Linked DNA regions of Alligator mississippiensis. The protein of the gene in region 2 interacts with the protein of the main gene of each other region in a pairwise test. Links are inferred from orthologs where the notes say so. Each region holds a gene or a part of one and is shown on either strand. Other genes may lie near its edges.

What was found.
Region 1: the proteins of LONRF1 (region 2) and TRIM42 interact in binary tests that used the Homo sapiens proteins (3 or more experiments, as listed by UniProt). The two-hybrid records come from large-scale screens. The link is inferred for Alligator mississippiensis from reciprocal best matches to the Homo sapiens genes LONRF1 and TRIM42.
Region 3: the proteins of LONRF1 (region 2) and EFHC2 interact in binary tests that used the Homo sapiens proteins (3 or more experiments, as listed by UniProt). The two-hybrid records come from large-scale screens. The link is inferred for Alligator mississippiensis from reciprocal best matches to the Homo sapiens genes LONRF1 and EFHC2.

Annotation. Positions count from the first base shown.
Region 1 is NC_081830.1:46,933,822-46,942,675, reverse strand, and holds the start of TRIM42 (tripartite motif-containing protein 42), read right to left. Parts: upstream 3,257-8,854; 5' UTR 3,145-3,256; coding exon 2,780-3,144; intron 773-2,779; coding exon 66-772; intron 1-65.
Region 2 is NC_081825.1:61,427,155-61,434,914, forward strand, and holds the start of LONRF1 (LON peptidase N-terminal domain and RING finger protein 1), read right to left. Parts: upstream 3,507-7,760; 5' UTR 3,302-3,506; coding exon 2,725-3,301; intron 1-2,724.
Region 3 is NC_081824.1:302,538,209-302,546,299, reverse strand, and holds the start of EFHC2 (EF-hand domain-containing family member C2), read right to left. Parts: upstream 3,257-8,091; 5' UTR 3,097-3,256; coding exon 3,055-3,096; intron 1-3,054. UniProt on the Homo sapiens protein: Microtubule inner protein (MIP) part of the dynein-decorated doublet microtubules (DMTs) in cilia axoneme, which is required for motile cilia beating.

The DNA.
Region 1 (8,854 bases), on a different chromosome or scaffold from region 2:
CCATTTATATGATATGCAGCAAAATATTCAATAAGTGTAAATAAGTGGAAAAGAAAAATAGGAACCTTTTTTAAATTTTGCAATAGCATTGAAGAGGGCACCAGCCTCCCTTGAGCATGCCACTATCAAGGGCAATGTCTCATGGTCACTGTGCAGTGAGTTCTTGCAGTAGTCACAGATTAGCTCATGGTCATCTACACAGTATTCAGAGATAGGTGAACTGGAATGTACTAAACAGTTTGACTGTTCTTGATCTTCTTGATAGGCTTTGGTAAAAATGTGCTCTTGAGCAGAATCATCTCTATGATATAAACTGAGACATTCTTTACAAAAATTCATTTGACATGTCAGACATCTTTTGGATGCCTTTCTTTTCTTCTCTTTGCAAGCTTGACAATAAATTGATGTCTGAGTTCTGTCAAATCTCCACCTGATAAGGCCATGTTTCTGCATATATCTCTTAGCCAGTTTGGCTCTCAGTAAATTCTTCTTCAGCTGAATTTTATTAGAATAGGGAAGGCAATGTGCTTTGTTACACACTGGGCATATGAGAATGAAAAAGTTCTCAGACACTTCAGCCTTGGCCCTCCTTTTACCTATGCAATCCCCACAAACACAATGTTTACAGGGAAGCATAAATGGGTGGAGGTACAGTTGTTTACACGCTGGACAGGTGAGTTGATCACGAAAACTATGCCCTGAGACATCCTTGTCCAGTGTAATGACAGATGTATCACTTGTAGTTCCAGGGCCTGGTAAAGACAGCCTTGAACTGAAAAAGAAAGAAACAAGATCTTCTCAGCTTCCAAATGTTCATTAAGAAACAGGCTGTAATATATATATATAGCTTTGCATTATTTACTGAAGATATCTTACACTTTAAATATGGGTATGATCCTCTATTCCCCCAGTGAATACTTATGAATAAGCTTTTTGACTGTCTCTACTTAGCCAATACGTATGAAACTATCCATTTCAGTTCCAGCATTTATATTGCAAGCATTACACAAACTAACACAAACAAACATCTGCATTTTGTTTTCTTATTCCTTATTTATAACCTGTGTATTTCGTTACATTTTTATAAAGATATGATACAAATAGATAGACAGGAAACAGAATATGCAATAAGCAGATAGTTCATTGGGAATGAGCAGAATAATGGATTTCTGGGAGGTTTGGATAGCAAGCAGGAGGAAAAAACCTAAAGAATATTTTTTCCCTCATTTTGGGATTTCCCAGCATTTTGGGATTATTTTTGCTTTAAAATGGGAAAACCTGAAATGTTTTGATTTAAATTGAAATGTTTTGCATGATTTTTTTTCTTTCAACCTGAAATGAATTGGTTTGTATCATTTTCAGGATATCCTAGTTGTTTTTTTTTAAATACTCCATTTTATTATTACTATTGTTGTCAGTTTTTAAATGAAGAATGTTTTGCTGAAAGTAAAAGTCAGAATGTTTCATTCTGAAAGTATTAAATTGAGAGTTATTTCTTAAAATACATGCTTTAATTAAAAAATATCAAAACTTTTTTTTAACATTTTCAACTTTTTTTATTAATTATAGGTTTGGTCTGTCTGGAATTGCATTTGTCAGTAAACTTACTATACAGTGGAGAAGAAAAGAAAACCCCTTGCCTATCTTCCATCTCCTGATTTTCATGCACAGCTTTCTTTTTATTTAGGAGGGTGGTAAGAATTGGCCTTCCAATGTGACCCTGGGTACTGGTTCTAGATTTTTAGGGTTAAGACTATCAAAAGTTGCTTGTAAGTTTTCTTGCACTTGAGATACACAGCTTGGAATGCCACAAAGTTACCCAGTTTTCAGAAATGTTGACCATTTATAGTTTGAAAGTCAAGGCTATTTTAATATGTCTCCAGTCAGGTACACAAAAATCACTATTCATTTTCAAAACTGTGACCAACTGTCTCCATAAGCTATTCTTAAAACTGCGTAAAAAACATCATGCACAACTAACAGACACAATCCCCAAACTGCCTCACTTGCCACAGGTAAAGCTCGGGGACAAAGGGCACTGTCAGTATCCTGCCACAACAAGCACAGGAAGTAATTGTTAAACACAAGACGGATCCAAGGAAGAGGGCCTATGGTCCCTGCTATAGAAAGAGGTATGGAGGGAGGTAACCCCCATCCACTCCACATACATGCAGTGCCCATGCTGAGCTGTATGGTAAAATTCCTTTCTGATCTCAAATGTGGTGATTAGTCTGACCCTGGGTTGAGGAGTAAGACATTCTCACTATGAACCTCCAGGATTTTTAGTCCCAGAAAAAAGCACTGACACAGTCATGTATCCCTCCATGTTTGAGCAATCCTCCTCCATCCTCAGCCTGCCTTAGTCAGTAGTTATGTCTCCATTTTAATATATGCTCTTCAGATGAATCTCTAAAATTAGTAATACTTTTTTTGTAATATTATTTCTTCTTCCAATTCTCTTCAGAGCACTTTTTAAAAAATATATTTGGTTTTCTTCCTCTTTCTCTTCCCCCTAACTATAATCCTTTCCCTCATTTACAATTGATTAGCACTTTACTCTCTTTAGTAGTCTACTTTGTTGTTTTCTTGGAATACTCCACACTTTTTCCTTTCCTCTTTCTTGGTTTGGCTCAGTCTGGCATTATCACTATTTCCAGCCATGTCTAACACCTTGAGAAAAAGGTGCCCAAAATTTTGCCCCTAAATTCCACAGAGCTAATAGACCATAATATAAATTTAAAAAGAAGGAATTTCAAAAACAGGCTTTGGTTTCACTTACTGATTTCTCCTTGGGATTCTTGGATGGTATGGTGAATGGGCAACATTTCTGCAGCATGTGCTTTCATAACACTGACAAACGGTATTCTCATCGGTGGCACAGCAGCAACACTTACAGTCTTCATCAGTTGAGAAAGAGCAGCAGCACCAAATACAATTTGGGTTCTCTGAACATGTGCAATGGCAACACTGGCAAGATCGATCTTCATGGTAAGCGCAGGGAAAACAGTTGCAATTCCGCTCTTCAGTAAATAAAAAACGCCAACATAAGCAGCATTCTTCTTCTTTTGTTAAGATCGGCGGACAGCAATGGCAGCCTGGACAACATGGCCAAAATAAGCAACATAAGCATAAAGTCCTGGCCATCACCCTGTAAGACACTTAGAAGACCACTTGCCAAGCCTTTCAGCGTGTCCTCACTTTATGTTACACAGCAGCACTCCCCTCTTCAAAGCTTTGTGCTTTGGAGGAGAGGTGGATTTTTTTTCTCTGGTTAGAGACTAATAGTGACATCACAAAGAGATTCCAAATAAGGGCATGAACATGGCCATATTTGCACATGTACATTACTCACTTGATTATCTTTTTATATCACAGTTGCTAAGCATTGCCTTTCAGGTTTCTTCCACTGGCACTAAACACTAGTATATCTAAGCTGGCAAATTCACGTATTGCCCCAACAGCCAATGCAAGTTATGTAGAATTCTGGAACATGTTGAAAATTTGGAAGCAGCGTGAAATAAAATGAATTTGATATAAAAATAAGTAACAATTAATATTTCACTGGTTGTTCAAGTTCATATTTAATATGTGCAAAATATTACATATTCAAATCACATGCCCCAGAATTTCTTGTGTGCCAAAGAATCCCTGGGGTTTTGATGAAAATTTTAATTCCACCTTACCACAGAGAGAACATAGAGACTTTTCGCTTGCTTCCTTCGTGGTGGGAGAAAGACATTTTATGGAGTCTTCTCTTTCTCAGGGCAGGTGACCTGTTGATACACCCTAAGAAACAAAGCAGTGTTGGTTTCTACTTTTCTACCTCACCTACTTCCAGATTCTCCCTGTCCTTTTCAGTCAGTGATTAAATAGCTTCAAAAGGAATACATGATAAAAGAAATGCTATCTGCTTTTGCAGAGGAGACACTTTCAGCATTTATCCATTTGTATGATCCCCATTTATTTCAAGAGCTCATTCAATGCCTTATTTTGAAATTTGTTTTCTATTGGCCTAGATCCAAGAATAATACCACAACTTACTTTCCGCCGTGTCACATGTATGTGGCAGGAGGTGCATCAGATCCCATTTTGCTATGTTGCCAGTGGAGGAGGAGCCTGAACCAGAGCTCCCCTTGCCTCAGCAAGTAGCAAGCATGGCTTCAACACATCATGTACATGGTGCACTTCCAGGCTGGGAGCCCCAATCAGCTGAGGTGCCTCCCAGTGTCTGGAGCATACAAGAGTCTTGACAGGCTCCCATGTGCACTAGAGGCTGGCCAGTGGCCACACATGCAATTAAAGGCATAAAAAGAACCACCCATAAAATTATTACACATATTTTATGTAATCATTTTGTGGCTTGTTCCTGATTTTATCATGCTATTAATTTATTGAACGTGTGGCTAGGTCACTACTTAAGACATGATTAACCAGTTAATCATGTCTTGCATGTAAAATCTCTCCAGGGCCTCAGTAATAGTATGTATCTACATTTTCCTTGGCCAGCTTCTTTTTCTCCTTGTATTCACTTCTCCTTTAAGTATTCTATTGGCCAAAGCAGGATGTCTTATAATGTGGTCAAACCAAAATTTTATATTTTCCAACATCAGCTGTAATATCAGTTCTCAGCTATGAGCTGAATACCTGAATCAGCTCAACTATGAGCTGACACTATAAGCTGAGTATCTTTAAGAGCCATCTACAGCACTTTGTTTCAAATGCTTGCATGCACGTTTCTATAGCTACATTTCAGGTGCAACTTTAGACACCAAAGCTTAAAATATAGATTCTCCAAAATACTGCTCAGCTGCTTTCTAACTTTTGAGTTGCCTACAATGTGAAAGTACCTATATTTCTGGTACTGAAGCTTCCTAGAAGCCTAAAAGTCTTCTTCTGGGCATGCCCAAGAACACCTCAGGCTTGACAATAACAAGTGGCTCAGTCAGCACCTATCTTAGGCATAAATCAGCATTCATGAACTACAAGTTCCTTTGCTTCTCTCACTAGTAGTCATTCTCAGAGTACACCTTTTGTATCAGACTTCTCCAAACTAGCCATGGAGTCACTGATATGGCCCCTCTATGAAAATTACTGTGCTAGAAGAGCAGGAAAGAAAGTGAGTATGATACCTCTGCCTACTAGTTAGGATACTCAGCAGGGAAAATTATGTTCTATTGAATATTTAGCATAAAATAGGTAAGTCAGGGGCTCACAGGACAAAGGAAAACCTTGGGTTCAAGTTTTTACCTTACTGAATATTTCACTATATTATGCTAAATATTTAGTAGAGCAGGGGCTAGAACCCTGCTCTCTCCTTCTCTCTGAGAATGATCTATGTGACTGTAGTCATTTTCCATCTCTTTTCCTAGTGCATGATATAATGGAAAGTGGAATAATTTCAACAGGACTGTACCAGAGCACCTCACTCCCAGCCATCCCAAAGTGCCAAAGAGGTTGTTAATTAGATTATTATTTTGGGAGGATTAAATCCTCTCAGGTAGACTGTCCATTGATGCTGATATTTGTTGAGGGATTTGACCAGGATAGATTAACCTGTACTGATGCAGCTATATTCCTTCTGGTTCCCATGGTAGACTAGCTGCCACTATACAGCATTGCACTGCAGCGTGATGAAGGAGATCAGTGCTTATGATCCCCATACCTCAGAAGTGGGATCCACATTTTCCAAAGAGATAAGCCATGTACCTTTTTGAAAGAGGCAGGTTTGTGAGGCGGGGAGAACAGGAAAATATTTTAAACTGATTATATGTGAAGCTGTGTGATAGTCACATATCTTCCTAGTCAGTAATTACTGCAAAAGCATCCCTGTAGAGCCAAGCACTGCCAAGCTTTCATAAGACAATGGGTTTCTCTTGAACAATGTCTTGCACTCTCTCCTCTAAGGACTGACCAAAGGAATTATCTGAAAGTGATATAACAGGGTTGCACTGGCGCCAACCCTCTCTCATGGTAGTCTCCAACAGTTTAGGCATAGAGTTTTTTTAACTTCACTGAGATTACATCAATGCAATGTGATACAGCATTTTTCACAGATTCTGTGCTCATTGGTTTGTATTAGCCCACTTCAGACATTTATAAATCTTTATCTTCTCAAATTTAAACTATACTGTTTACTTACCTTAGGGAGTGGAAAGGAAAACATAAGGGAAAAAGTTAACTTAAAACATTAAAATTGTATTGGTGCCTCACTTGAAAGCCTCTAAGCATCACACACTAACAGACTGATACACTGATTACTACAAAACTATTGACACCAGTTACCACGCAGTTGCATTTAGGGTTGAGTACTTTATTCCTCAACTCAAAACTGAAAATAAGAGTGACCACTGTATGGTAGCTGTTGGTGAGTGTTGGCTTTTAATGGTGATCACTGTACTTACTGTAGGTAATTAAGAGTTTCTTTAAAATGCAAAATATTCATTAGCTTGGGTTAATCGGTTAATGCCTAATTTGGGAATTATTAAGGCACGCATCTTGGCATACTTTATTGTAACAGCTCCTTTGTAGCCATTAGAGCCTATATGCACAAAACCTACTCTAGTTAGAGAATTTTTAATTCCCTGATCCATAGCCCAATAGACCATAATGGCTCAGTCATTATAGGCGGCCATTTACATGATGGACCATAATAGAGCCTTTGGAATGGTTATGGGCTATTGTGTCAATGAAGTAGAAGTACTACGTCTGTGTATGAAAAATCTTTCTAGAATATTTGAGCAAAATAATTTATTGCAAATACTCAGACCTTTAGTAGCTGTGGGTTTTTACATTTTATTTCCCCAGGTTCCTTTGATGGCTAAGCTTTCTTTTCTCTTCTTTGTGCATATTTAATTTAGAAAATTAAAACACTTTTGAATTCCATGAGCATGAAAGCATATCTTGTAATACTAATGCTTGCTGCTTTTTTCAGTCTTATAATTCAGATATTCCTAAATAGATATTTTAAAAAAGAAGGGAAAAAAAAGCAGCTACTCATCTTACGTGTCAAGTTTCAGATCAAAGCAAAATCTTGATATGACAAGATTTGATTGCTGCAACCAACTCCTGGATATTTATTTCCCCGCTTTCTAGCCATCTTTCATGCCTGTCATTCTGACCAAGATTCCCCATTCTTTGATTCTCTGTAATACATTCTCCTTCTCTGCTGCATTATTTCTCTTGTCTTTGTCTTCGGATATATTTTTCACTGTTTATCTTCATCATCTTTTATTGTTCTACATTGTGATATGCCAGTGATGATACCTTTTCTGTTACCCTGTTTATATGCTGCTTCTCCAATCTTCTTTCATTTTCTTGTTTCTTATACTCTGTGTATAGACTACACTGCCTTAAGACCTTTGCTTTGATATGCAGCAGGTTTAGAGACTGACCCATTCTTTTTTATCCACGTTTGTTCACCATTAGCAGATACTAAAACATCTAATCGCTCCTTTTGCCAGAGCAAAAATTACAGTTTTTCAGCAACATGGTTTGGCCAAGAGGCCACTTAATGATGAAAGTGCACAGCAGTTAAACTATGATTTTGTTGGTTTCCCCAATTCATGGGCTTTACCCTGCAAAGTTCCCATAGCTCCCATTGGCTTCACAGAGGCACATTCATGCTAGAGCCCTCACGTGCTTTTTGTACTCCTTTGATGTACTCCTTTGTACTCCAGAGATGGGCAGATGAGAATAGGATGGAATTCAATGCAGACAAGTGCAGGGTACTTCATCTAAAGAGAAGGAACCAGCAGCATACCTATAGGCTGGGAAACATCCTTCTCATCAGCACAGAGGTGGAAAGGGACCTTGGAGTCATTGTTGACTCCAGGTTGAACATGAGCCGCCAAAGTGAGGAAGTTGTCAGTAAGGCTAGCCGTACCTTGTCATGCATCCACAGATGAATCACAAGCAGGTCCAGGGAGGTGAGCCTCCCCCTCTATGCAGCATTGGTCAGGCCGCAGTTGGAGTACTGTGTCCAGTTTTGGGTGCCGCACTTCAAGAGAGATGTGGCTAACATTGAGAGGGTCCAGAGAGGGCCACTTGCATGATTAGACATCAGGACGTATTACTTTACAGTTAGGGCGGCTAGGACCTGGAACCAACTTCCAAGGGAAGTGGTGCTCACTCCTACCTTGGGGGTCTTTAAGAGGAGGCTGGATAGACACCTGACTGGGGTCATATGACCCCAGCATCTATTCCTGCCCAAGGCAGAGGGTCAGACTTGATGATCTGTTGGATGATCCCTTCCAACCCTAGCTACTCTGATACTGTGTTGGATCCCCAGTTCTCAAGCAAAATTAGCATGGAAGAACAATAAAAAGGTTGAGGTATTAAGTCCTGCAAGAATACAATTTCAATTTAACTTAGATGACTTAGGAAAGACTATTTTTACTGAACCTTTATTAGTATTAATTCATTGAATTCAACTCAACTTTTTAGCTGACAGCTTATCCTATTCATTTCCTTTTTTAAAAGTCTGTCTGTCTCCCTTCCTTCCTTCCTTCCTTCCACTTTGGATGCTTTGGCCCAGGCTCGCTTGGAGCTACATGGGGTGATCCTGAGCGTAAGACTCCCTGGCTTCCTATCTCTTTTCTTTTCTGACTCCCACCTGTCTAAAGGTCTCTTGCTTCTGTTTATCTCCCTTTCTGATTCTATTCTTGCATTTTCACAGTGTTTTTTCTCTTTTTTTCTGTTCTCTGTCCCCTCCCCCTTTACTTCCGGTTTCTTTGGTTGTAAGTTGCAACATTACAGCTTTTTTCTTACTGTTTCTTTTTCTTTCTTTCTTTCTTTTCTGCTTGCTTATTGTGGGAAGTTATCTTTTTCTATATCTTCCCTTTCGAGGGGTGCGCTT
Region 2 (7,760 bases):
GAGCCAGATGGTCCTCAAGGTCCCTTCCAACCCTATGATTCTATGATTTCAGTGAACTTACTTAATGATATGAGAGCAAATCCATTAATTGTGCATGTTGGGAAGGAAAGCAGGGCAAGTATTTAAGACAAATAATACACAAAATATTTTTATCTGGATTTGAATCTAACAGCCTCTGTTTAAGTACATCCACTTCCATTCTAATGTAGGAATCAGAATTCCACTGTAAAAACTTACCAACACAACAGCTAACCTCTCTCACATTTTAAGCTATTTTCATACCAAGGCAAACATCCAAGCTTATCATTAAATTAACTCCCCCTTCCACTAAAAAAAGTTCGTAAAAATGTTATTTGAATAAGGATATGGTGGTAGCCTTTAATTCATGACAACGTCAAATAAGTTTATGTAGGTTTGTACAAAACAGAACAGAGGTGGGCTGATAGGGAAAAAAAGCTTCCTTAAAACAAATACAAACAGCAAGAGAATAAATTGTTGTGTGTATAGATGCTCTCTCCTCCTTTCCAAGCAGCCCAGAATGCACAGTAACCAGCTTGTGCATTTGCCTACTTTACAACAATGTTTCATCATTATATAGTCACAGATCAGTAAATCTGAAAGTCTCTAAATTTATGTTAAAACAACAGTAGTTATATATTTCTCCTTAAGGCTTCCAGTACATCAGCACTGGTATTTAAAAAAGTAACAACTTTAAACTACAAAAGCCCTCAGGGCTTGAAACATGAATATTTCTCCGTGCTATGGAGAGGGAGAAAAAAAAAAAAACACACAAAAAACAAGCAACAAACAAGAGATATTAAGCTTTTGAATAAGTACGAAGAATGCCTTGAATTTGAAAGCTTGTCTAGCTTTATCCTAACCACGAAGTTGGCCCAAGAAAAGATATCACCCCCCAAAATCCTTGCTTCTTACATAAGCCTGTGATTTAATATTTACATAATTGCACATAACAAAATTATGGATAAGTATCAGGCCTGAAAGCTTATTTTCAAATTTTAACCAGAATTAACTAAGCCTAACCTTAAATGTAACAAATTTTGCAACAAAAGAACTCTCTCCACAGAAGCCTCAAGTTTTAATGGCGAAATCAGAACCATAACTGATACTACTAGCTTTAGAAGAGACCTCTGCAGACACTTTTTACTTTAAACTTTTTGTATAAAATTCTGGTTGCCTTAAAAAAAAAAAAAAAAAAAAAAAATGTTCTTAGTCCCTCAAAAAACCAAAACCAAACCAAAACAAAACAAACAAACTAGAGACCAGAAACACTTGAAGCTGTTTAACTTCCAACTTTATGCTTATGATTAATCATGGATAATCCAAACTACTATGGGAAACCCATTTAGATAAGACTTCATTTCTTTGTGACATACATATAGGAGTTGATGCTAAGTTCTAGAATATGAATAAAATGTTTTCTAATTTTCAACAAATTCCTAGTCCAAAAGTAAAATTGGACCCCACCCTTTTTAATTCCCACCTAAACCAACTACTGCAATTACAGGTCTGAAATATTCTAAAACATATCTGAAGACAAACTACATTTGTTGACAATTTATTCTGAAACTAGCATCTCCCCAGTTTGGATCAGAAGACAGGCTTGTCACGTCAGATAGAACTGCTCAGTTTGTAATCTATGCTTCTATTTTTCCTGCAGCTGGCAGGAAAATGCAGCATATTAAGCATTACCAGTAATTCCTTTCTAGATGCACCACAATCAGTTTAAGGGAAAAAAGTGTACTGAAATGGAAAATTAGACACCTGCATATCACAGAAGTTAGCCACCCACACTGGAACAGAAGTGCTACAAGGGGGAATCTGACTTTGTCTAGGTATTTATATCCCCTTCATCGTGACAGATTCCAAATGCCCGCACGAACAAGACTAACCTCTTTGAAATGTCAACCATGCCCTCTATGTTTACAGAGTGCCAAGCATACTGTTAGTGCTCACTAAATAATAATCCAAGAACATCCCTTCACAGGGAACATCCCTTGTGCCCTCTCCCAACACTACATTATAAAACACCAGCCACACCCACCCGTGATGTCACCAGCATTACACAACCTGTCCCCCTCCATGCCCGGACGGCTTATGCAACTAGGCCCAGCCTGCTGGCAATTGTCTTGGTGACACCGGTAAGAGAGAAAGTAATTTGGAAACAAGGTAAATAGAACAGCCACTGTCCAACAATGTCCACCACAGAAGTGGGGGAGACTGATGTGCAAGACGACACCTGGCTGCCCTGCTGCCCCAGCCCTGCTTCCACACCACCAATCACCAGACGCATCCCTTTACATAAAGCCAGAAGGGGCGGTGGCGCCTGCAGGCAGCATGGGAAGGGCCAGGTCTGGGAACACTGGAAAACTTGGGCTTGTCAGAGAAAGCCCCTCTGTTTTGAGAGACAGTGATAGGCTGGGGGAGAAGGGGGTCTCAGACATGACAGGGGCAAGGGGGGGGGGAAGAAGTGGGGGGGTCTCAGACATGAGAGGGCAGCAGGGGGAGAAGAGGGGCATGGACATACAGGTCAGCAATGGTGGTGAGGAGAAAGGGGGTGCAGGCAGGCAGGGATGGTCGGGGGAGAAGGACTCAGACGAGGGGACAGCGCTGAGGGGAAGGCGGACTTGGGCACGACGGGGCAGTGTGCGTGTGTGCGTGGGGGGTGCTGGGCACCAGCCCGAGGCCCGGGGCCACGCTACCCACCTGCTCGCAGCGCGCGGCTGGCGGCGCCCAGCGCCTCTCGGAAGCGGCCTTGGCCCAGCAGCTCCGCCAGGCGCCGGCGGCCCCGCGCCCGCTCGCACTCGGCCGGGAACCACTTCTCTGCCAGCTGGTTGAGCACGACGTTGATGCGCGGCGGCGGCGGCGCGGGCAGGCGCTCGCGGCAGCGGCGGCAGCGGGCCCACAGCTCGCGGCGCAGGCAGCGGCGGCAGTAGCTGTGGCCGCACGGCGCCGTCACCGGCTCGCTCAGGAAGCCCCGGCAGCCGCAGCAGCGCAGCGGGCCGCCCGCCTCGGGCCGGCCCCGGCCGCAGCGCAGCCCGTGACGCAGGCGGTAGTGCAGCACCAGGCAGCCCACGAGGGTGTCGAGGCGGCGCGGCCCCGGCGGCGGCCCGAGGCGCAGCGCGGCCGAGTAGGTCTCCAGCGCTTCCTTGAGGCGGCTGCCCAGCGCCAGCAGGTCCCCGCGCCGCAGCAGCAGCTCCTGCTCTCCCCCCGCCTCCGCGCTGCCACCCGGCTCGGGCTCGGGCTCCGCCTCGCAGCTCACGGCCACCGGGGGCCCCGCCATCGCCGCCGGCCGCTGCGGCTGCCCCGCGCGCGGAGCGGCTCCGGCTGCTGCTGAGGCGGCGGCGCGAGGGGGGTGTAACAGCCCCTCGGGCGGCGCCAGGCTCTGCTGTGCGCACGGCACCGAGGGGGAGGGCGGGGCCGCACCGTCGTCCCCTTTTCAAACGTCTCCGCGGAACCGCCGCGCCGCGCGCCCCAGCCCCGGCTTACATAAAATGCCGCGTCACGTGACGGCGCGGCGCACTTCTCATTGGCTGCGAGCGGTGGCGGCATGGCGATGGGGGGGGGTCGGGGGACGATTACAAAACAGCCCCACGCGCCGCGCGTTCCAGAAGCGGTGGGGGCGGGGCCGGGGAGTGGGGCGGAGCTACACGCGGGATGTCTCCGCTCCTCAGCGCTCGTCACGCGGAGCCTGGGGCTGCGCTGGGCTGGGAAGGGACCTCGGTCCGTCTCCTCCCGCTCCCGTGTCTGAGCCTTCAGGCCCGTCTCAGCGGAACATGGGACAGCTCCAGACAGGAACCGGGGGCCCGGCACGCGCTGCCGGGCGGGAGGGAGCGCCTGCCTCAGAGTTCAGCCTCTCCCGCGTGAACTAAAGGGCACGGGATGGTCCCGCACACACGCAGAGGGGCAGGACAGCAATGCCCCGTGCCTTCCCAAAGGGAGAAGGGACAGTGTAAGGCAGCCGTGCCCCATTCCCCTGGCGCGTAAACACACTCCCCCCCCCCCCCCCCAACGCACCAGTGCCCCCATCTGTCACTCACACACAAGGCTGGGGCAGCACAGGGCAGCAGTGTGCTCAGGCCGGACAGCTGGCAGCAACAGCAGCACATTGGCAGTGTAGCCACAGTACAGTGCTCTGTAGACACCATGGAGAAGGGGAGTTTGAGGGGAGTCTTTGAAGGTGGGGGAGGGGTCTTGCAGTCACTTTGCAGGTGTGTGTGTGTGTGGGGGGGGGTACTTTCCAGGTGGCTCCTGGGAGCTGGACTCATGGGGCCCAGTGAAAACGAGCCAACAACTCACTAGGGGATAGGTAGGTAGATGGGTCTCCAGAACAAGGGGCATTTTATGCAATAGACAAGAGGGATGGGATGGGATGACAGTCAGGGAAAGGATCTTTGCAGTGGCCTTCTGCAGGGACAGGTGCTGCAAGATGCCTGCTGTCCAGGCTTCACCCTTCATGTACCACTGCCTGTGGGCGTCCCAGGCAAAGACTTCATTCCTGTAAAAATCAATTTTCTCTTTATTAAGAGACCTACTTATAGAGGGTGTGCACAGAAATGATGTATGCATGTTTTACAGCACTGTAAAAAGTGCACTTTTTTATAGCACTATGAAGTTACAGGACTCTTAAACATGACAGAAGTGCAGTGTTTGTGGAGGGGAGGAGCCTCTCCCTACTTTCCAGGTTTGGGGGTAAAGTGGGGCTCTGCAGCCTCCTGGAGCTTCTCCATTGGTCAGAAATTTGACCATCTTACAGAAGTTATTTAAAGCACGTTGCTAAAGTGCTGTACAATACAGCGCTTCAACATTAATACCTCATTTAACAATGGTTAATTTAAAGCACTGTACCCATTTCTAAAGTGCTGTAAAGCCATGCACTTCTGGTAAATCATGGCAATAAAGCACTTTAAATGATGAAAAAAGCAACTTTTTTACACATCTTTGCAACTGCATGTAGCTACACTGGCTGCCTGGTTCTTCTTCCAAACTGTTCCTTTCTACACCTATCCTCTTTACTCCTAAATTCAGTGCAAGGTACTAGAGCCAGAAGGAAACAAATGTTTCATTCACTACATTGTTCAGGATCTCAACAGCTCACATGAGTTTTAGATGCATAGGTGGAGAGGCAACTACATTAAGTCCACATGAAGAAAAGATCTGCATGATTTAGATGATGCTTCAATGTGAGGACCTAGAAAAAGGTCCAAGTTGAAAATGATTCTCAGATTATAAGGTTGGGGGCGGGGGATGGTTAACTTGAGAGGAAAAAGATTAAGAGCTCTATTCTAATACAGTAAAAGCTGTGTTATCTGGCACTCTACCATCTGGAATGCTCTATTAACTGGCATCTGTCCCACCATGGTGCTTCCAGTTTTGCCACCGCAAGCTGTGTCCCACTTCTTCCTCATGGACCATGGCCCGGGGCAAAGCAGCCTGTGTGGGTCCCCCTCCCTGTCCCCCAACACACTGACACCAAGGAGTGAAAGTCCTGGTGCATCAGACATGGCAGGAGGGGTGGCAGCCCAAACAGGCAAAGGCACCTCCAATCTGCTGGGCTGGAGATAAGTATAACTCTCAGATAACTGGCATGTTTGATTAACTGGCACCCCCAATTTCCCATGGGTGCCAGATAACAAAGCTTTTACTGTATTATAAAAGCCTAAGTCTATCCATCTGTCTGTCTGTCTGTCTGTCTGTAACGTTTTATTCATGCTCTGATTGGCTGACAAACAGTCAACCAGAGTGTGAAGAAGCATTTGGACAGATGGCAGCCTGTCGCCATGATGGTAGGGACCCAGGGGACAGAGTGGGGGAGGCAAGGCCAGCACTGCTGGCCTTGCTCCCCCTGCCCTGCTCCCTGCTCCCCTCCTTGGAGGTAATGGCAGCGGCAGTGGTGTGGGGAGAGGGAGCAGGGTCGGGACACCATGGGAGGGTAAGGCCACCGGCACTGGCCTTGGCCTGCCCCTCCCTGCTTCCATTGTTGCTGCCTGCAGGGCTGATGCAGTGGCGGTGGGGGGAGGAGTGGGTGTGACGTGCGGGGGAAGGAGTTGTTTTTGCCTCCACCCCACACACTCTGCCTCTTGGAGCTGGTGGAGTGGGCCGGACCCCAAGTGGCAGGTGGTGTGGGTGGGTAGTGGGCCTGAGCCAGTCATGGTGACAGGGAAGGGAGGAGCGGATATGCTCATGCTCCTGCCCTCCCTGTGCTGCCATGGTGGGGAATGGGGCAGTGGTCCCAGACCCCAAGCAGAACTGGGAGGAGCGGGCCTGGGCCCGGTGTGCGGGGCGGGGACGAGGCCCATCATGGCGGCGGGGGGGTCAGAAGCAGGCCCAGGCCCATGCGTCAGTGGTGGGGGGAGGGGAGAAGCAGGCCTGGGCCTGGGTCTGATGTCAGAGATGTGGGGGAGGATAGGGCTTGAGGGGGGTGGAGAAGCCAGCCTGCCATGGCGGTGGGAGGGGGGAGCAGTGGGCCTGGGCCAACATAGCAGTGGTGGGGGGAGGGGAGGACTGGGCCTCCTCCTTCTCTTGGGCCCCAACCCACTTCTCCCCCATCCCCACTTCTCTGTGTTGGCCCCAAGCCCGCTTCTCCTGTTTCCTCCCTGCCACCGGGTCAGCCCGGGCCCCCTGCTCCCCACAACCCGCTGCAGCAGCCCAGCTTCTCCCCACCCTTGGCCCCAGTCCTTCCCTGCATCAGGCCCGGGCCCCAAGCAGCAGGAGGGAAGTGGGGAGTGGGCCCAGATGGGAGGGACTACGATGACGAATGACACGGGGCTCCATTCCCACCTGCTCCCTCCCCCATCATTCTTGATGGGCAGTTGGCTAGTTTTATGTATATGGAGCTTGAGCTGTATGCTAGAATTCCACAAGGAGCCAGAAAGATAGGAAGAAATTTTAATTTGGAGAGGAGACAGGTCTAGAGTAGAGTCAGATTTGTGAGTCACAGCAGAGAAACGGTGTTTGTTTCAGTTGCAATTACCCATAGAAAAGGTGCAGAAGGAGAAGAGAAGACAGAGTTCTGTGGAACCCCACATTAAATTGGGGAGACAAGAAAGATTCTCTGAGAACACACTGAAAAACTGATTAAAAAGGTAGGAGGAGAACCTTCCATACTTTTTAGGTCCAATGACACTTATAACATCTCTTGTTAGCATTTCTTTTTTCTGGGAGGTCTGGAGCAGAAGTGTTTCCATATTTCCTTGTCTACAAACAAACAAACAAACAAACAAACAAAGAGGAGAAAAATCAAGGAGGCCAGGAATGATGAGTAGCAATAAGCAGGGAATGTTATTTCTTGCTTTCTCCAAATTATTACAAAAAAGCCTTCCTTAGTTTCCATGCTGCTTACTAGAAATGCTTTTTATGTTGCTCTTTTTACCCCCTTTGTGCTGCTCTCTCTACATTATCCGTTGCACATACTCTTCCTGTAGGATTCTCTTTGAAACCTAGACATCAAAAAAATCCCCTGAATTCTTTTTTTTTTAGTCCAGGATTACATTAACAAACAGCAAAGTGATCTTCACTCTACATATATTCCAAGTGCCTGCAAAAGAGAGAAAACCATTACAGTAACTTCAGCACATGGATCTATTCTGAGATGTATGGCAGCAACATGTTGAATGGTTGAGGAGAGGAAATTCTATGACCATTAAAGTGTTTAGGAATAAGATGGATTAAGATGCAGGTGACATTCCAGGCTGCATTTATAATACCCTTATTTTCCCATATCTTGTATAAAAAACAAAAAG
Region 3 (8,091 bases), on a different chromosome or scaffold from region 2:
GCCAGCACTACTACACAGTAACACTGGTTATTGCTCATTAATTTAGTACTTGATTATACAAGTACTAAATTTAATGTGCAGTAACTACTGCACATAAATGAACATGTAGATGTGCCCAGGGAGTGTGTCATGCTCTGGATGCCTCCTGATCCATTTCTGCCTGCTGTAATCCTCCTCCTTTCTGCAGCAAATAAAACATTCACACTGGCACTGCTTTTGCTATGCCCACCCCTGCCACCCATGATCTTCACCCAGTGAAAAAGGGACATCCGAATCTAAGCTGTACAAGACAAACTACTTGGAGTCTTTAATAGGTATCCCATCAGCATGGTATATAATCATTGAACTTAATTTATTGAGATGCCCAAGTCAGCTGGATTTTTGTCCCTATTAAACAGAATTGCCAATTACAAAAATAGGCCATTTCAGTAGTAATTACTGCTTTCTGGGAAGCTGCCAAGTTGGAAGGAGGCACTATTTACAGTAGGACACAGACAAAACCTGCTGCCTACATGGTGCCAGCAATAGAGGCAGCTGTGAGATGTCTATCTTAGCAGACTATTGTGTACAGCTGATATGAAAATAAGAAGCAAGAAGTGATGAAGCCTGTCTCATGGCTAAGGAGACACTGAGCACTGTTGGCAGATTTTAAAAAAGTACAGAACCCAAACTATAATAAGACGCAAAGCCCTAAGCACCAGAAAATCATTTTGCAGGCCCCAACAAGCACAGTCACGATTGCCATTAGGCTAGAGTCACTGCCAATAATTGTCACAAAAGTTCAACTAGATCCACTGAGAGAAATCCCAATTAAACAAATTTCCTGATTACGCATGTATAGATTAGGGAAAATAGACTTTTCAGCTTCTCCTTCTGCCATTCCTATTGACCTTCACATTGGCTTAGCAAGTGAAATAACAGTACCACCAGCAAAAGTGATGGTAGCAGTACTAAATGACAATACACAGAGCAACAAGAAGAGGAATAGCATAAAAAGCAGCAGTAATAATAAACCAGGGGGTGACAAGAGCAGCAAAGACCAGACCAGTCATTCCTGTCCTGGAAGTACTATTGCTGTTGCTGGTTTTATCCACAGCCTGGTGGTAGGGTTTGTAGTAGCAGTAAATGTCATTTGTTTCCATCCTACGGTATGAAAGCAATGCCCTCCAGACATCTAAAACATCTGCTGCTTCTGCTGCTGCTCTGCATCTACCATTCTCATGGTGAAGATGGAGAAAGTTATGGCAGCTGTGGTAGGCATAGTCCAAATAGTTCTAGCATCTGTTTGTTTGAATATGGCCTCTTTGGACTTTAATTTGTGAAACTATATGGATAAAAATTAAGCCCAACAGCCAACAGCAGAAGCAGGAGGTAGAACTGCCTCTCTACAACTACCGAGCATTCAAACTGTAGGAAGCATAACAATAGGGGATGAACTAAAGCTCTGAATAATAGCCTAATCTGGTTTCACTGTTATAACTGGGACTTGGTTTTTGTATCGTTAGTTGTCAGAACTATATATGCATTGTGTGTGTGCATATATACATTCACAACACAGACTGCAGAAAGAGGCCTACTTATATATGTGCATTTGAACACATCCACCATTTGTATGCATCCCCTATCTAGACCTCTAGTGTGTAAAGCTAAGTACCATGTCAGATTTGTGACTATGTAAACTTCACAGCTGTCAAAAATTCTATTCAGAATTTAAGGGGCAACTCTATGCATCCTGCTCAAAAACCAAAAACAGGATATTATCTATCAGAAACTAGGTTAAGCTGTGCTTCTTCCATGCATGGCCCATCACTAAGGTACCTGAGGAACCACATACACACCAGCCAGTTCTTTACAAAATATTCTAAACTAGATGTCACAAGACAAGAGAAACAACTCTGATTTTACAATTTGCTGTAAAAATACTGTCTTATAGATTTACAAATTGTCAAAAGTACTTATGGCACTACACCTACACTACAAACTTGTGGATTATTATCCCTAACTTGTTTAACTCTGAAACATTCTCTGTTTACAGTGTATTTGTCTTCCTTTTCTTCTTTGTTATATAAATAACAAGAGTTGAAGCTGCTAAGTTCCTCAATTCTTCCCTGTGTGCCAAGCATTTCCTTTTCCAACTTAAAAACAAAAGCAATTTTTGAGTGCTTATAGAACAATATATAACAGACACAAGGCACGGCAGAGTGACACCTTATAGGCTACCTAATTATAGACTAAAATAGACTGAAATAGTTAAGTCTATAATGTGCCACTCTGCCTTGCCATCCCACTGACTTCAGACTGAAATAGCTAACTGTGCGTATATATGTGTATGTATATATATGCGTGCGTGTGCACACACACCCGCATACACTAATACTTTGTTCTTGCTCCTATTTCACCTCCTGAATAATACAATAAAGATGGCAAACTCCAGAATTTAAGCTAAGTCTGCTTTCGATATCTGCTGTTAGTCCAGTCCATGCATGACAGGAATTTTGCCACAGATTTCAACGAAGACAACCGCACCCCCGTCAATGAACAGAATGTTTGGCGCCTCGGATCTCATCTGCACCTACTTCCCTGACCGTCCAAAGAAGCGATCTGCTGCAAGCCTAACACAGGCAGGCATTCGGTCTCTCACATTCACCCTGCTGCAAGCAAACCTGCATAATAGCATCGCAGCATCCGTGACCACAAAACACAGCAGGGAATGAACTTACACCTTCAGTCAGTCCTCGGGGCACCAACCCAGCAATGGCAGCACCCCCACGGGGACTTTCCTTGACTTTCGGGGCTAGGTAACCTCCTGCTTCCCTAGGGCTCGGCGATCCCCTCCGAGCAGGGGCCAACCTGGTGCTGAAAGCCGCCATGCCCCTTGACCCCCCTGCCCCAGAGGTCACACGCGCACCCTGCCTGTGCCTGACAAGGTCCCAGAAGCCAGGCCTTGCAAGCAGCAGGTCGCCGCAGCTTCCAGTGACCATGCACGGGAGCAATACGGCCGGGGACTGGGGGTGAAGGGGGCGGGGGAGAGCCGCCGGCCCGGCTGTCACTCACGTTCCTGTTGAAGGAGTTCCCGGGCAGAAGCGGCAGCGCCATGCTCGCCCCAGCCCTGGCCCCGAGGGGCCCGCTGCTGCCGCCCGAGCACCCCCACACCTGGCCCGGCGCGAGCTGTTTGGCATCCCGTTGCCTAGAGACCGGGGTGTGACGTCACAAAGGGAAGACTCCGCGCCGCATCCCGTTGCCTAGAGCCCCGTTGTGACGTCACAGAGGGAGCCTGCGCGTCTGAGGGCGCCCCTGCTCTCTGCTGCCCCCTGTAGCTTCGCGGCCCCAGGCCTTGGTACCGCAGGCTCAGCTGCCGCTGACCGCTCTACTGACTCCGACCGGGGCAAATCTTGTGCTATTGGGCGCTGTTCCGACGGCTCCAGGTCCTGCAGGGGGAGAAGAGCAAGGGAACAGCTGGGCTTGGGGAAGGGAGGGGGGTTGGAGGGAAGAGCCCCAGTCCTGGCCTTCCTGTAAAGGGTGAGTACATGGAGAGGTGGACTCCACTCCGGGGTGTCTAACAGCAGGGAGGCAAGTCAGTGAACCTCACCATGTCCACACGCGTGTGCACACTGTAGTGATAAGGGTTAGACCATTATTCACTGCGGAACCTAAACCATTACACACACAACACGCCTGCGCATGCTGCTTGCATTGAGGCAGTTTTGTGATTGGAGGGGGAAGGGATGTCACACATAAGCGTGCGTGTGCGCACACGGACATGATCAGGTGCTTGTACATGTGTGTGTGTATACGTGATCATGTGTGTATGTGCATCGTGTGTAGGCATGCCATGTGTGAGTGTGTGTGCATGTCATGCAGTGTACATGCATCACATGTGTACACATGATGACTGGGGATCCTGGTTTTCTCTGATTAAAAAAAATCCCCAATTTTTGGGTTAGAAAAAGCGACATTTTGCTGTGATCAAACTGAAACACCGCTATATATATATGTCTATGGATTAGTGTTTTGGTTTGATCACAGGAAGATGTGGATTTTGGGTTACTTCTTTAACCCAAAAATTGGGGATTTTTTTTAAATCAGAGAAAACCAGGATCCCTGATGATCACATGTGGATGTGCATCGTGTGTGTGTGAACACACATGTGCACACATGCATGTGCTTCTGAAAAACTCACCATCCAGTTTTCATAAAACCCAGCTGTGAAAGACTCATGAATTCCTCCCTGGATCTTCACAGTTCATGCTCCAGTTTTCCACACACCGCCTCTTCCATGACCTCATGCTTCATGGGGTGCTTGATGTCTCCTCTCCAGCCCCTCCCCACGCATGCTTAGCCCTGTTGTTCAAAATGGTTTACATCAAAAGTCAGACATGCAACTGACAGGACTGAGCAGGACAGGACCTGTCCTAAAGACTTTTCAGCTTCCTGCATGAAGGAATGTTTTAGGTGCTTGCATCTAAACCTTTGCCGTGCATGCTGTCCCACATTTGGGCCTTGATAGGTTTCAGTGGAAGGATAGGCTTTTATGCATTTTTGTGTGTGTTTTTGTACTTTAGTCAGTTGGGATAAGAAATCTAAGGAAACAGGCTTTGCCTTGTGGCTCCCAGACATGCACAGGGTCTCCATAGACTATGTACCAATACTAGCATTTCCAGGAGGGCAGGGAAATGTAAACATTAGAAGAAATAGTTTAATATACATTACAAGGGGAAAAGATAGAAGCATATGTTCTTCAGGAAAGGTTTTGGGGAATCACCCCTCCCCACCCTCAATCTTGAGCACAAATGGCAGAGGTATAGCTAGCTACTTCTTTGCTGTCTCCTACAGCTGTCATGAGCAAGTACCATATCTGTATACCCAGACCATCAGCATGAGATCACCAGGTTGAGTAAATGGCTCACAAGAAACCTGGTCTCAACTTAACCACACTCCTTCCTCAGGAATCAGCCATGAAAGCAGCAACAAGATCAGTGCCATGTTTGTGTTTAATGGGTCTTCTTTAGACACAGGAGAAAATTGCTAAGGCCAAGCCTTCACTTTACCTCTAGAGTACTGCCTTGAGCTTGGCTTCTGCTGTGCTCCCAGTTCAGGTTCTGTTTTTGCTTGCCTAAATTCCTGCTCCAAGTGTAGCTCTGAACTACCTATGCTTAAGCTCTGATAAGAGCATCTTCAAACCATATACCAGGAACCAGCAGTTGAATCACTGGCAACGTGTAGTGAGCGCATGCGAGTGCACGTGCACCCTCCCAAGCGTGGCGGTGCACCCTCTATGAAAAGGCGCCGCCAACACCGTCAGCAGCACCTGCAGGCGGTCACCACTTGCCACCCCTTCACCACTGACACCACCAGTGGCACCTGTGGGCAGTCAGCGATGCCTGAGGGCAGCCACCGCCACTGCCGGCAGCATCTGCAGGTAGTCACCAACCCCTGGTCAGTGCTTACCACCCCCACACCACTGACAGCACCAGCGGTGTCTGTGGGAGCTCCGTGCTTACCACCGCCACACTCCCAACGCTGCTGCTGCACTCCCGCCACAACTGTGTCCCCACAGCCACCAGGGGCATGCATTGTTCATGAGTTGAATAGTTTCTCTGCTTCTGTGCCAAATCTGTTTGTCAGCAGAAAATTGGGTTTGTGACTAAAATATCTTTCCCCTAAAGCATCTTCCCTCTATCAAAGATTTCAATCTTTAGATAAAAAACTGGATAACCAAATTCACAAAAGTTTTTATTTTATGGCCAATATTACAAACATTTTAAACAATATATTTTGATTCTAATATGACATTGTCTCCTAAGGTGTGTAATTCAGTTGCTTCATATTGCTGCCTGTCCATGGTCAGGTGGACCCAGCAGTCATGAGACTCCTATAATTCATCATCTCTTCTTATCAGAAGCAAAGACTGTGGTATGTCATAGAATCCTGCCTACAAAGGAAAATGTGAACAGGAGGAACCATGACAACATTTGCTAATTAAATTATTTCAGGTTTCATTCAATATATTTGCTTTTGGGGTTTTTCCATTAAAAGTCAATATTTTTCATTTAAGACAAAGTTTGACACGTTCTATGGGTGCTTTGTAATAGGGGGTCTACTAAATTAGCATACTCAGGAAACAAAACTTTCAATGTTGGTAGCTATCATTTGAAAAAGCAGGTCTCAAACACATTGACACAAAACATTTTGAAATGCTGACGTGCCAATATGTTCATGTTCTTTTTGTAATATTGAACCAACATGGTAGCTTCTTTAGATAAGGCCTACATGGAGCCAGTGTCAACAAATCATACTAAACTGATTGTTAGCCTGCCCGAGGGCAAGATAGCCACCATTTAAAAGGAGGGCTCAGTTTTCATGTCTAATACATTTCACCATTAATTGATGGTAAGAAATTATTTCTATCCTTTGAATTCCTAAGAAAATTTAATGGGACTTCCATTTTAGCCTCTTCTGCTATAAACACTCCAGTACCACCTTATACAAAGAAAATCATAAGCAAAATAGCAATGTTTCACAATAATTGCTCATGGACATTTGTTGTTTTTACAAATAGGCTGTTTAAATGACATTATTATATTAATAAAATACCTTTAGTACTTCAGCTGTAAGAAAGAGTTGAAAGAGTATTGCACAGCTCATTCTAGTTAGTTATACAAATCCAGGAAAATACAAAAAAAGTGAATGTGGCTCTTCTCATTTGCTTGATTTATTTTTCCTTCTCTATTTCCTGCCTCTATTAAAGCCCTATCAGATTTGACACAGATAAGTAGGAATTAACCCTCTCAAGTGTACTTTATTTTTTTTTCCAATAATGTCCTTAAACTGATCATCTCAAATTGTCAGATTACAAAAATATTTTGAAATTATACAAAAATTGGTTCCTCTTTATGTTTTCATCTGTCATGAGCAATAAGAGACAGTTTTATACTATTATGAGGATCCTGTTATAAATCTTGAGTAAGTTGCAAGTGAGATTTTGAAAACTACACTTAGTACAATTAACATTCTGCAAAAACATGTTATTCGCTGTGGGCCATATGTTTCTCTTCCTGTATAAAGATGCACAGAACGGGTATCATGGAACTCCAAAGTTCCAGGACAGTTAAGAAGCCTAGACAGAGATGAAAGAGTACATTGCTATAAATTTGCACAAGAATACCTGGGGAAGAATTACACCTCCCATTTTTCCTAACACAGTTAAAGCCTACATGTGTAAAAAGCATGCATAAGAGTGACTGCTACTCGAGGTGTGTCTGAATAAACTGTGGCCCAGTTCACACCAAAGTTGATTGCTCCCAGGCACCGCATTTACATGCGTGCCCAGGACTGCTCTACTTTGAGCCAGGTTGGAGCAGACACAGGGGGTCAGCCTGCCAACCCAGGGCTGCTCCAACCTGACTCCATGTGCTGTGAAGGAGCTAGCTGGGGTACAAAGGTGCTCCAGTGTGAGGGTAGCCAGGAGGTTGCTCCCACACTGAAGCACCCTTGTGCCCTGGCCAGCCCTGTTAATAGTCTAATACATCCATTGCTGTGCAGAAAATAACTGCCGCATGATAGTACTTGTGTTGACAAGTACTATAGCAATGTTTATTATTTTCCTGTGGCCACACATGTAGACACAGAGTTTACTGTGGAGCTAATTAGGCAACCACAGTAAACATCTCATGTAGATGTGCCTAGGGAGTAGAAGTAAATAAAGTAGCTAATGCATTTAATTACATCGTTATAAAGTACTTTGCATTTCAAGGGAACATGCTACAGTGAACAGCGAGTCCCATGATTTTTTCCTGGACAAAAATCACCAAGATCTCCGGCTCCACAGTGACAGGGGAAAGATCATGTGGCCAGTTGCAGTGCCGGCCCACCCCTGTCTAGGGCAGTCCACCCTGTCTTGTCTGCCACAACTTGCTGTTCAATAATACAAGATTGAGTAAGTGGGAGGCTGCCCATTTAATGCCCCAGTGCCATGGGGTCTACACACAAATCTGACCTACCCTTACCATGTCCCATGCCTCACAGATGGCATCTAACTTATTAGCAGCTCCGGCCAGAAGCTGGCCAAACTCTGCCCCTTGCTGGGCCTCT